2 linked regions of the Ovis aries genome follow. The protein of the gene in region 1 interacts with the protein of each later gene in a biochemical or structural test. Links are inferred from orthologs where the notes say so. Each region holds a gene or a part of one and is shown on either strand. Other genes may lie near its edges. The genes, in order: NR2F1 and BCL11A.

Evidence for each region.
Region 2: the proteins of NR2F1 (region 1) and BCL11A form a complex in vitro, tested with the Homo sapiens proteins (2 studies listed by BioGRID). The link is inferred for Ovis aries from reciprocal best matches to the Homo sapiens genes NR2F1 and BCL11A.

The regions. Positions count from the first base shown.
Region 1 is NC_056058.1:90,688,288-90,692,719, reverse strand, and holds the start of NR2F1 (COUP transcription factor 1), read right to left. Parts: upstream 3,020-4,432; 5' UTR 1-3,019. UniProt on the Homo sapiens protein: Coup (chicken ovalbumin upstream promoter) transcription factor binds to the ovalbumin promoter and, in conjunction with another protein (S300-II) stimulates initiation of transcription. Binds to both direct repeats and palindromes of the 5'-AGGTCA-3' motif.
Region 2 is NC_056056.1:63,542,370-63,546,175, reverse strand, and holds part of BCL11A (B-cell lymphoma/leukemia 11A), read right to left. Parts: coding exon 2,586-3,806; 3' UTR 1-2,585. UniProt on the Homo sapiens protein: Transcription factor. Associated with the BAF SWI/SNF chromatin remodeling complex. Binds to the 5'-TGACCA-3' sequence motif in regulatory regions of target genes, including a distal promoter of the HBG1 hemoglobin subunit gamma-1 gene.

The sequences.
Region 1 (4,432 bases):
CTTTCTTGCTCCTTCTTCTGCTTCTTCTGCTATAACACACAGAGCTAGTTAAAAAAACCCTGGAGATCGCCCAAAAATGTTCTTTTTTTAGTATTTTAAATAAGTGCTCTTCAGCCGGGAACCAACACCCTCCCTCCAAAAAAAATCATATATGTATAAAATAACGATAAGAAGAATACGAAAGGGGTGCCTCCTCCTCCTCTCTCTCTCTCTCTCTCTCTTTTTTTTTAAGTTTAGCCCTCACTCTTCTGCAGGAATGGAGTAAAAGAGAGGAGGAGGGAGAAAAAGGAGAAAAAGAAGAATACGGGGAAACAACTAATAGAATATGTAAGAAAAGAGAAAGGGGAGAGAGGAGAGAGAAAGAGAGATTGAGAGAGAGAGAGAGGCGGAGGAGAGAGAGAGAGGAGAGAGAGAGAGAGAGAAGAGAGAGAGACCCCAAAATTGAATGCGTTTAAACGGGAGGACTCGCAGAGCAGTGTTTCCGAAAGGGGGATCTGTGCGAATGTCTGTATATAGTGAACTTTGACACTACTATTGAAACTGACACGTTTCTATGGAGATCGCTGCCTTATATGGAGCTCGTGTCAAGGAGCCAAGAGAAGGGCTGCTGGCAACTGATAATCAAAGGCGACTGACTGGTCAGAGCCCTGAATCGGGGGGAGAGAAAATGGGAGGCTAAGGTTAGCCAAGCCTCCTGCACGCCATTGGTTGGAGAGCCCCTCCCCCCTCCTCTTTTTCTTTCTTTCTTTTTTTTTTCTTTCCCCTCCCTCTCAGCTACCTACTGACGGGGATGGCGAGGGGAGGAGGAAAGAAAGTGTGTGTGTGGGGGGGTGTGCTTCTGACAAGCGCAATTTACATTGAGATCGCCCTGCGCTGCTATTTACTCTGAGACCTGATTAGTATGGGTCGTCTATGGTCACACACACACACACACACACGCACACACACACACATACACCAACACCAGAGGGGGAAGGGACGGCGAGGGGAAGAATGCCTTGCAATGGGTAAAAAAAGAGAATCAGGCATTATTTTGTTTTCTTCTGAAAAGTTTTTAAATTTAGCTTTTATGAGCATGAAGACGATCATTGGAAATGTTAGGAAAATTTTAAATGGGAATTAAAACTCTTACCGTTCTAACGAGTCCTGAAAAATATTCTGGGTTTGTATTGTTTTGTGTTTTCACATACAAGCACAGCCCTAGAGTAGATTCTGCTCATTTTATATTCCTTTAAGAAACAAAGTAGGGACTTGCTGGCTTTTTTTCTCCCCCACCTTGATCCAACGTATATTTTGGTTTTAAAATGAAAGGTTCAATTATGACAAAAAGCACTCCTGGAATTCGCAGAAATTGCCCCCCAAATCAGTCCGAATCAATGGTTCCTCTTCATCCCAAAGGTGATGTTTAAAATAAACTCCCCCCCCCCCGATTTTTCCTTTTTTTCCTTCCCCTTTTTGATATCCTCAGGCTGTTTTAACCTCCAAAGAACGCTCCAATAATTGTTAATAAAAGAGTAGTAAGTTCTCATATTGCTGCGGGGGGGGGGGGCGGTCAGTGCGGGCCGAGTCCGAGTCCCAGGAAAAGGGGGAAAAGGGTGAGAGAGAAGGGATGAAGATGGGGAAGGGAGGTGGGGATGAGGAGGGTGGGGGGGGCGAGAGAGGGAAGAAAGGACGGGGAGAGAGAGAGAGAGATAGGGGAAGAGGGAGGGGGCAGAGAGAGGGAAAGAGGGGAGAGACCCCCGGTTCCCAAAGGCGATTGGTCGCCAGAGGAGGCCCGGGCGGGAGGAGCGGGTCCCGCCGCGAGGCCTGCAGGAATCGCTGGCTCCGGCTGCCACCTAGCGGACGGGAGCCGCGTCCCGGAGACGCGCGGTCGGGTCCCCTCCTCCTCCCCGCCTCCTCCTCCCGGCACGCAGCCCTGTGCCTTTTCTGCAAACCAAGACACAGCACTTTGAAAATTCTTTCAATGGATTTTTTTTTTTCCCTCCTCCTTCTTCCTTGAAAGATCGTACTGAGGGAAAATGATACTTCTATTAGTTACATATTCTCCAATCGCACACTCGCATCTTTCCCCCCCACCCCACCACCTCCTCGTTCTGCGATCGCTCCCCTAGGCAGGCTCAGGCGGGCGCGCAGCGGCGCCGAGTGACAAAGCCGCCGCCCGCAGCCGCCGGGGGGTGCGGAGCTGCGCGCCTGCCTGCCGCCCCTCGACTCTGGAGAGCGTCAAAGTTGTCTCAGCTCCAGCACCCCCGAGCCTCCACACGCCCTCAGGTGAAGGTGGGAGTAAAAAAAAAGGCCACGCTGTTATTGCCGGAGGTAGGGTTTGTGTGTTTTAATACTCGTTCTCCCTTTAAATGTCATCAGGGAGGGGGTTTGGGGGAAGCGCTGCCCCTTCGGGGTGCGTTTTGCGCTTCCCGGTCTCTCTCCAGTCCTACTGAGAGTCAGGAACCTGGCGACCGCTTAGTGTCGAGCGACGATGCGAAAGAGCAGAATAAAGGCTTTCCTGTGTCTTGCCCCCCCGCCCCGCTGCCCCGCAGCCCCTCCAGTTCGAATAATGAAGGGACACAGTCCATGCACTCTGCAAGCAGCCGCCCCATTGTACGCTTCAGGGGAGGCGACGGGGGGCCAGCGAGAGCTCCTTGCCCTTTCTCGTCTCCCCAAATAATCGCGCCGAAGTCTCCTGGTCAGTTAAAAGGTGAAACGAGAACACGATTAAAAGAACAAAAAAAAAAAAAAAAAAAAAAGGAAGGAAAGAGGAAAAAAAAGAAGGAAAGAAGGAAGCAAAAGAATGAGTTTTCTCATATGAATTCTAAATGTTCCTACTCATAGAGTACAAAGGCAGGCAGTCGAGGGCAGAGGAAGCAGGCAGAGAGGGAGACCGGGAGAAGGAAAAGAGAACTTGGAAAGAGACGGAGCGAGTGCAAGAGGCAGCGCGAAGCGAGCGCCAGGGAACCGGAGGCTCCCCGCGCCTGGACGCCCTGCTCTCGGGCCCGGCCGCCCTCGGACCCAGGACCGGAAGTCTTGGGCGCCAGAAGCCAGAGCCGGCCCATCTCTGCCGCACCAGGCAAGTAAGGCGATGATTATCGTTTCTTTTGAACTCGGGGTGGTTGTTGCAACGCGGACAGGCCGGGAGGCAGCGATTGCTCGCACGGGTTCCGCAGGCCGGGGGGCGGGGGCGGTGCCCTCGGTCTAGCCAGAGGGGAGGGTCGAGAAGAACTTATCGCGGGGGGGCCTGCTCCGGAGCCGCCCTCCCCCCGGCCTCTGTCCCGCGGCGGCGTGGAGAACAGGGATCGCTGCCCGCGGGGCCGCCCCGGAGCTGAGGATCGCGCCCCACCGAGCATCGGCCCAGATTCAAAACTGATTGCCCTCCCATCTCCATTTGCCACCCTCCTCCCCACCAGCGGGAAGAGGCTGCGGAGCCTCTTGGAGGAGGGGGGGCAGACGGAGGGTCCACAGGTTGGGCAATCCGCGCCGCCGCCCCTCAACCCCCGCCCGCCCCAAACCCCCTTGGCGGGTGCCAAGCCGGAGCCGCTGTGGAGTCGGCTCGTAGCCCGCGCCTTGCCCGGCTGCAGCCAGGCCCGGGTGAGCTCGGCTCCCGCTGCCCACCTGCGGACGCCGTTTGCAACGGGATCCCCCTAATGTAACGCGATCGATGGCTGACTGTTTGATGTGGGTGAGAGCGTCAGCGGATTAAAAGGGACCCCCAAGCCGCTCTCCCGAGCGGAGAACCCGCGGCGGCGGCGGCGGCGAGAGAGCCCGAGATCTGCAGCCAGCCCAGCAACCAGGGGACGGGGCCGGGGGCGGGGGCGGGGGCGGGGGCGGGGAGGGGTCACTTCCCCCGGGGGTGAGGACTGAGCCCGAGTGCATGAAAGGAAGAGCCGCAATTAAAACCGACCAGCGAGCTCTCCGCGCAGGGCAGGGGCGCGCGTTTGCGTCAGAGGGCGCGCAGGGCGGGCGCGAGGGGGCGGGAGGAGCCGACGCCGGGGGCCGCGCCCGAGGGCTGGGTGGGCGCGGGAAGGAGCCCGCGGAGCTGCCTTGGCCTTCCCTTGGCCGGGCGGGCTAGGGGCTAAGGCGGGGCTGGAGGACGAGCGGCGGCTCCCCGAGAGCCGTGGGGGCCCATACACCCTCTCTAAGGGGCTTCTTCCTGCCGGCCCCCCTACCCTGAGCTTCCAAACTTGGAAGAGGCCCAGGGGGGATCCGGCGTGCCCCGGGGGTGCTGGGAAAGAAGTGGAGGCCTCGAGAGGCTTCAGGCGAAGCCTCCTGCCTCTCCGGAAGGAAGGGAGGGAGGGGTGCGCCCCCGCCGCCCCCGGCCCCCCCCCCCCACGGCGGCCTCAGTTACGGAAAGGGGGTCGGGCGGCTGTTGGAGATGGTGCTCTGAGCCGTGGAAACTCTCGGGTTTTCAAAGGAGGGGAACAGATCCCGCTCCTGCAGGGCA
Region 2 (3,806 bases), on another chromosome or scaffold:
ACCCCTATGACAGCCATCCGTGTGACATTCTAGCAGGCTCCCCCAAACCGCCATTATATGGCTTTTCATCTGTACAATGTCACACTTTTTTGTTTCTCTCTCTTTTTTTTGAAGCATACAAATAATTTGCACTATATTATCCTGCCAAATTAAAAAAATATACTGTGGCAGCCTGTCTTTTTTTTTTTTTCCACTACCAAAAAAGGTACATTGATACCTTTTAAGAGAACAAGCAACAGTTAAAAATACAAGCTTCAATATAAATACTATAGTGCCTAACACTAGATGAACATTTAATTCAAATACCATTCTAGAAATACAGAAAAAAGACCATAAATGTGTTTTAGCATAGGAATCAACATGAGTGTGCATTTTCCTATATTTAAGTACTATATAATCTTAAACCTTTCCCCAATGTATGTTTCTTTTTTTTACAACCTGAAGAGCGGTGTGTATCCAAGGCATAGAATTTCCACTACCATTTTTAAATGGATAACAAGTCTTGTAACACCACCAAGACAATGGAACCCTAAAATGCAGTTCCCCCCTAAACATAATGAAGTGTTTTTTTAAAAAATTTTTTTCTTAACATTTATATTTAAAAAAGTTTTGTACAAAAAAATCCTTGCACTGTAGAAGCGAAAGCAATCATTCATCTCTATGGTAAGTGTATTCTGTTTTCCATTCACAGCGCTTGCAATGTTGAGTCCGAGTAAGTAAGCTCATTAGTCAAGTAAATGGCTGGCAAAGTTTTTTTTTTTTAGTTTTTTTTTTTAAAAAATGCTCATCAATGAGATTGTGTTCAAATTATTTTTTTCAGCATTTTGCAACTTTTCCCTTAAGCATAGACCTGTAAACTGGGAAAATTGTACAGTGCACTTAATTGTCCTATCTGAGCAGGTTTATTTTATACTCAACCTCTGTATCTCTGATTAGAGAAAAGATACAGATATTACAGGCAGAGTCAAGTGCTATTTGAACACCAACTCGGGCAGATGCTAGCTTAATAAAAAAAAGAAAAGAAAAGAAAAAATTAAAAAAATAAAATAAAAACAATGAATCCTCTTCCATGTTAACACAAATAGCACACAGTGTATGGAAAAGAAATGAAGTACAACTTTTAGGGAGCACAGACATATATCCTGCTACTCTTAAAATTCTTTTTCTTCTTTTTTAAGAATGTCACATTTAAACACAAGTCTTAAGAATTCATAGTTAATCATCATTGTATCAATATTAGCTTATACACCTGTTCTAGTTTAAAATGGCAAAGAGTACCATGTTGTGCTAATAAATCACATATTTTTCCCCCTCTGTTACCCTCTGTCAAACCTTATCGTCAGTCTCTTCTTTTTAACATGCTATTCGAGGTCCTAACATTTATTGTTCGATTGTCCATTTGACAACCAAGTAGGTCTGGATCTATTTCTTCTGACGCCAGAATTTTTCTTCAAAAGACATTATTTAAAACAAGTTATCTTCATAAAATGACTTCCTTACTAATGTATTTAATCATGTTTCTGGGCCTTTGCACGTTGCACATTCAATTTAATCATCAGTTAAAAAAAATAAAACTTTGGGCAAAAGAGCCCATTTCTTTTAAGCTCTCACCAGGAGCAAAATAGCTTTTATACTGGTATAATCAGTTTTGCTTACAAGATTAAACGAAAGGGAAAATGATGATTAACTAGGACAACGGGTCATATTTTTAGGTAGCCATTGTTGTGAGAAATACAATATAGAATTATACTCTAGGTCCTAAGGTTTATTACCTCACCCAATGCTGATTTAAGCTACAAGTTTATAACAAGTAGAAAGAACCATCAACGTGGTTGTAATAGATCCAAGGCACTCATATTTTAAAACCAAATGATAGAATAAACTTTTTTTCTGTTAGTTTGTCAATTAAAGGCCTTTTCTTCCTCTCCAATTGATAATATTTAACCCTTTAGAGACAGACATTTACCGTGTAGAGATTTTCTTTCAGTGCCATCTATTCTGTCTATAGAGGGTTAATCCAAAGACTGTTTTTCCTCCTCACGTTATAAAAGAAAACTGTACATGATATGTATTACAGAATGTATGCAGCATGGTCTTTTTCTCTCTCTCTCTCTTTTTCTCTCAGAACGGAACTGGAAACAGCAACGGTGTTTTCTCAGCAACGAATCGGGGACAATTTAAAATAGCCGTAACATACCATACATGCTGTCTAAGTTTAAAAAAGAAAAAAACAAAAAAAAACATACACAACATGTAAATTATTGCACAAGAGAAAGGCTCAAAGTTTGCGTAAAATGCAATAGTATTGCCCCATACAGATCATGCATTCAAACGGTGAGAACATAAAGGAAAAAAAGAAAAAGAAAAAAAGAAAAAGAAAAAGAAAAAAAAACAGGTGTGCTGGTGACAAGCACTCTCATTTTCTTAGCTTCCGTTACTTCTGTTTGTTTGTTTGTTTAAATCACATGGGACTAGAAAAAAATCCTACAGGTTGTGGGGCTGGAGGGCGATGGGGAAGGGGGGGCGGGGAATGGTGAAAAAAGGAGGTGGCAGGCGGGAGTGAGGGAGGGGATATTCATATACCTCTATTCAGTTTTTATATCATTATTCAACACTCGATCACTGTGCCATTTTTTCATGTGTTTCTCCAGAGTACTGTACACGCTAAAAGGCATCTTACAAATTTCACATTTGTAAACGTCCTTCCCCACCTGGCCATGCGTTTTCATGTGCCTGGTGAGCTTGCTACTCTGGGCACAGGCATAGTTGCACAGCTCGCATTTATAAGGCCTTTCGCCCGTGTGGCTTCTCCTGTGGACAGTGAGATTGCTACAGTTCTTGAAGACTTTCCCACAGTACTCACAAGTGTCGCTGCGTCTGCCCTCTTTTGAGCTGGGCCTGCCCGGGCCCGGACCACTAATATGGGGCGTGCTCCCTCCACTTCCCGTGCCGCTGCGCCCCGAGATCCCTCCGTCCAGCTCCCCGGGCGGCGTGGAGAAGCGCAAGCTCCCGTTCTCCGAGGAGTGCTCCGACGAGGAGGCGAAAGGCGATTGTCTGGAGTCTCCGAAGCTCAGGAAGGGATCTTTGAGCTGCCTGGAGGCTGCGTAGCCGGCTAGCCACTGCGAGTACACGTTCTCCGTGTTGGGCATCGCGGCGGGAGGCAGGTCGAACTCCTTCTCGAGCTTGATGCGCTTGGAGAAGGGGCTCAGCGAGCTGGGGCTGCCCAGCAGCAGCTTTTTGGACAGACCCCCCGAGGCCGACTCACCCGGGGAGCAGCCGCGGCCGTTAACAGTGCCATCGTCTATGCGGTCCGACTCGCCGGCCACCGAGTCTTCGTCGCAAGTGTCCCTGTGGCCCTCGGCCTCGGCCAGGTGGCCGCGCTTATGCTTCTCGCCCAGGACCTGGTGGAAGGCCTCGCTGAAGTGCTGCATGGAGCTGAGCACCATGCCCTGCATGACGTCCGGCAGGGGGCGGCCCTCGTCGCCCACGCCCACCACCGCGCCCCGCGAGCTGTTCTCATGGTGGCGCGCTGCCTCCAGGCTCAGCCCGAAACCGTAGTCCACCCTCTCGCTCTCCGTCAGCTCCTCCTCCTCCTCTTCCTCCTCTTCCTCCTCTTCCTCGTCGTCCTCCTCGTCCTCCTCGTCCCCGTTCTCCGGGATCAGGTTGGGGTCGTTCTCGCTCTTGAACTTGGCCACCACGGACTTGAGCGCGCTGCTGGCGCTGCCCACCAGGTCGCTGGTGCCCGGTTCCGGGGAGCTGGCGGTGGAGAGGCCGTCGTCCGACTTGACCGTCATGGGGGACGACTT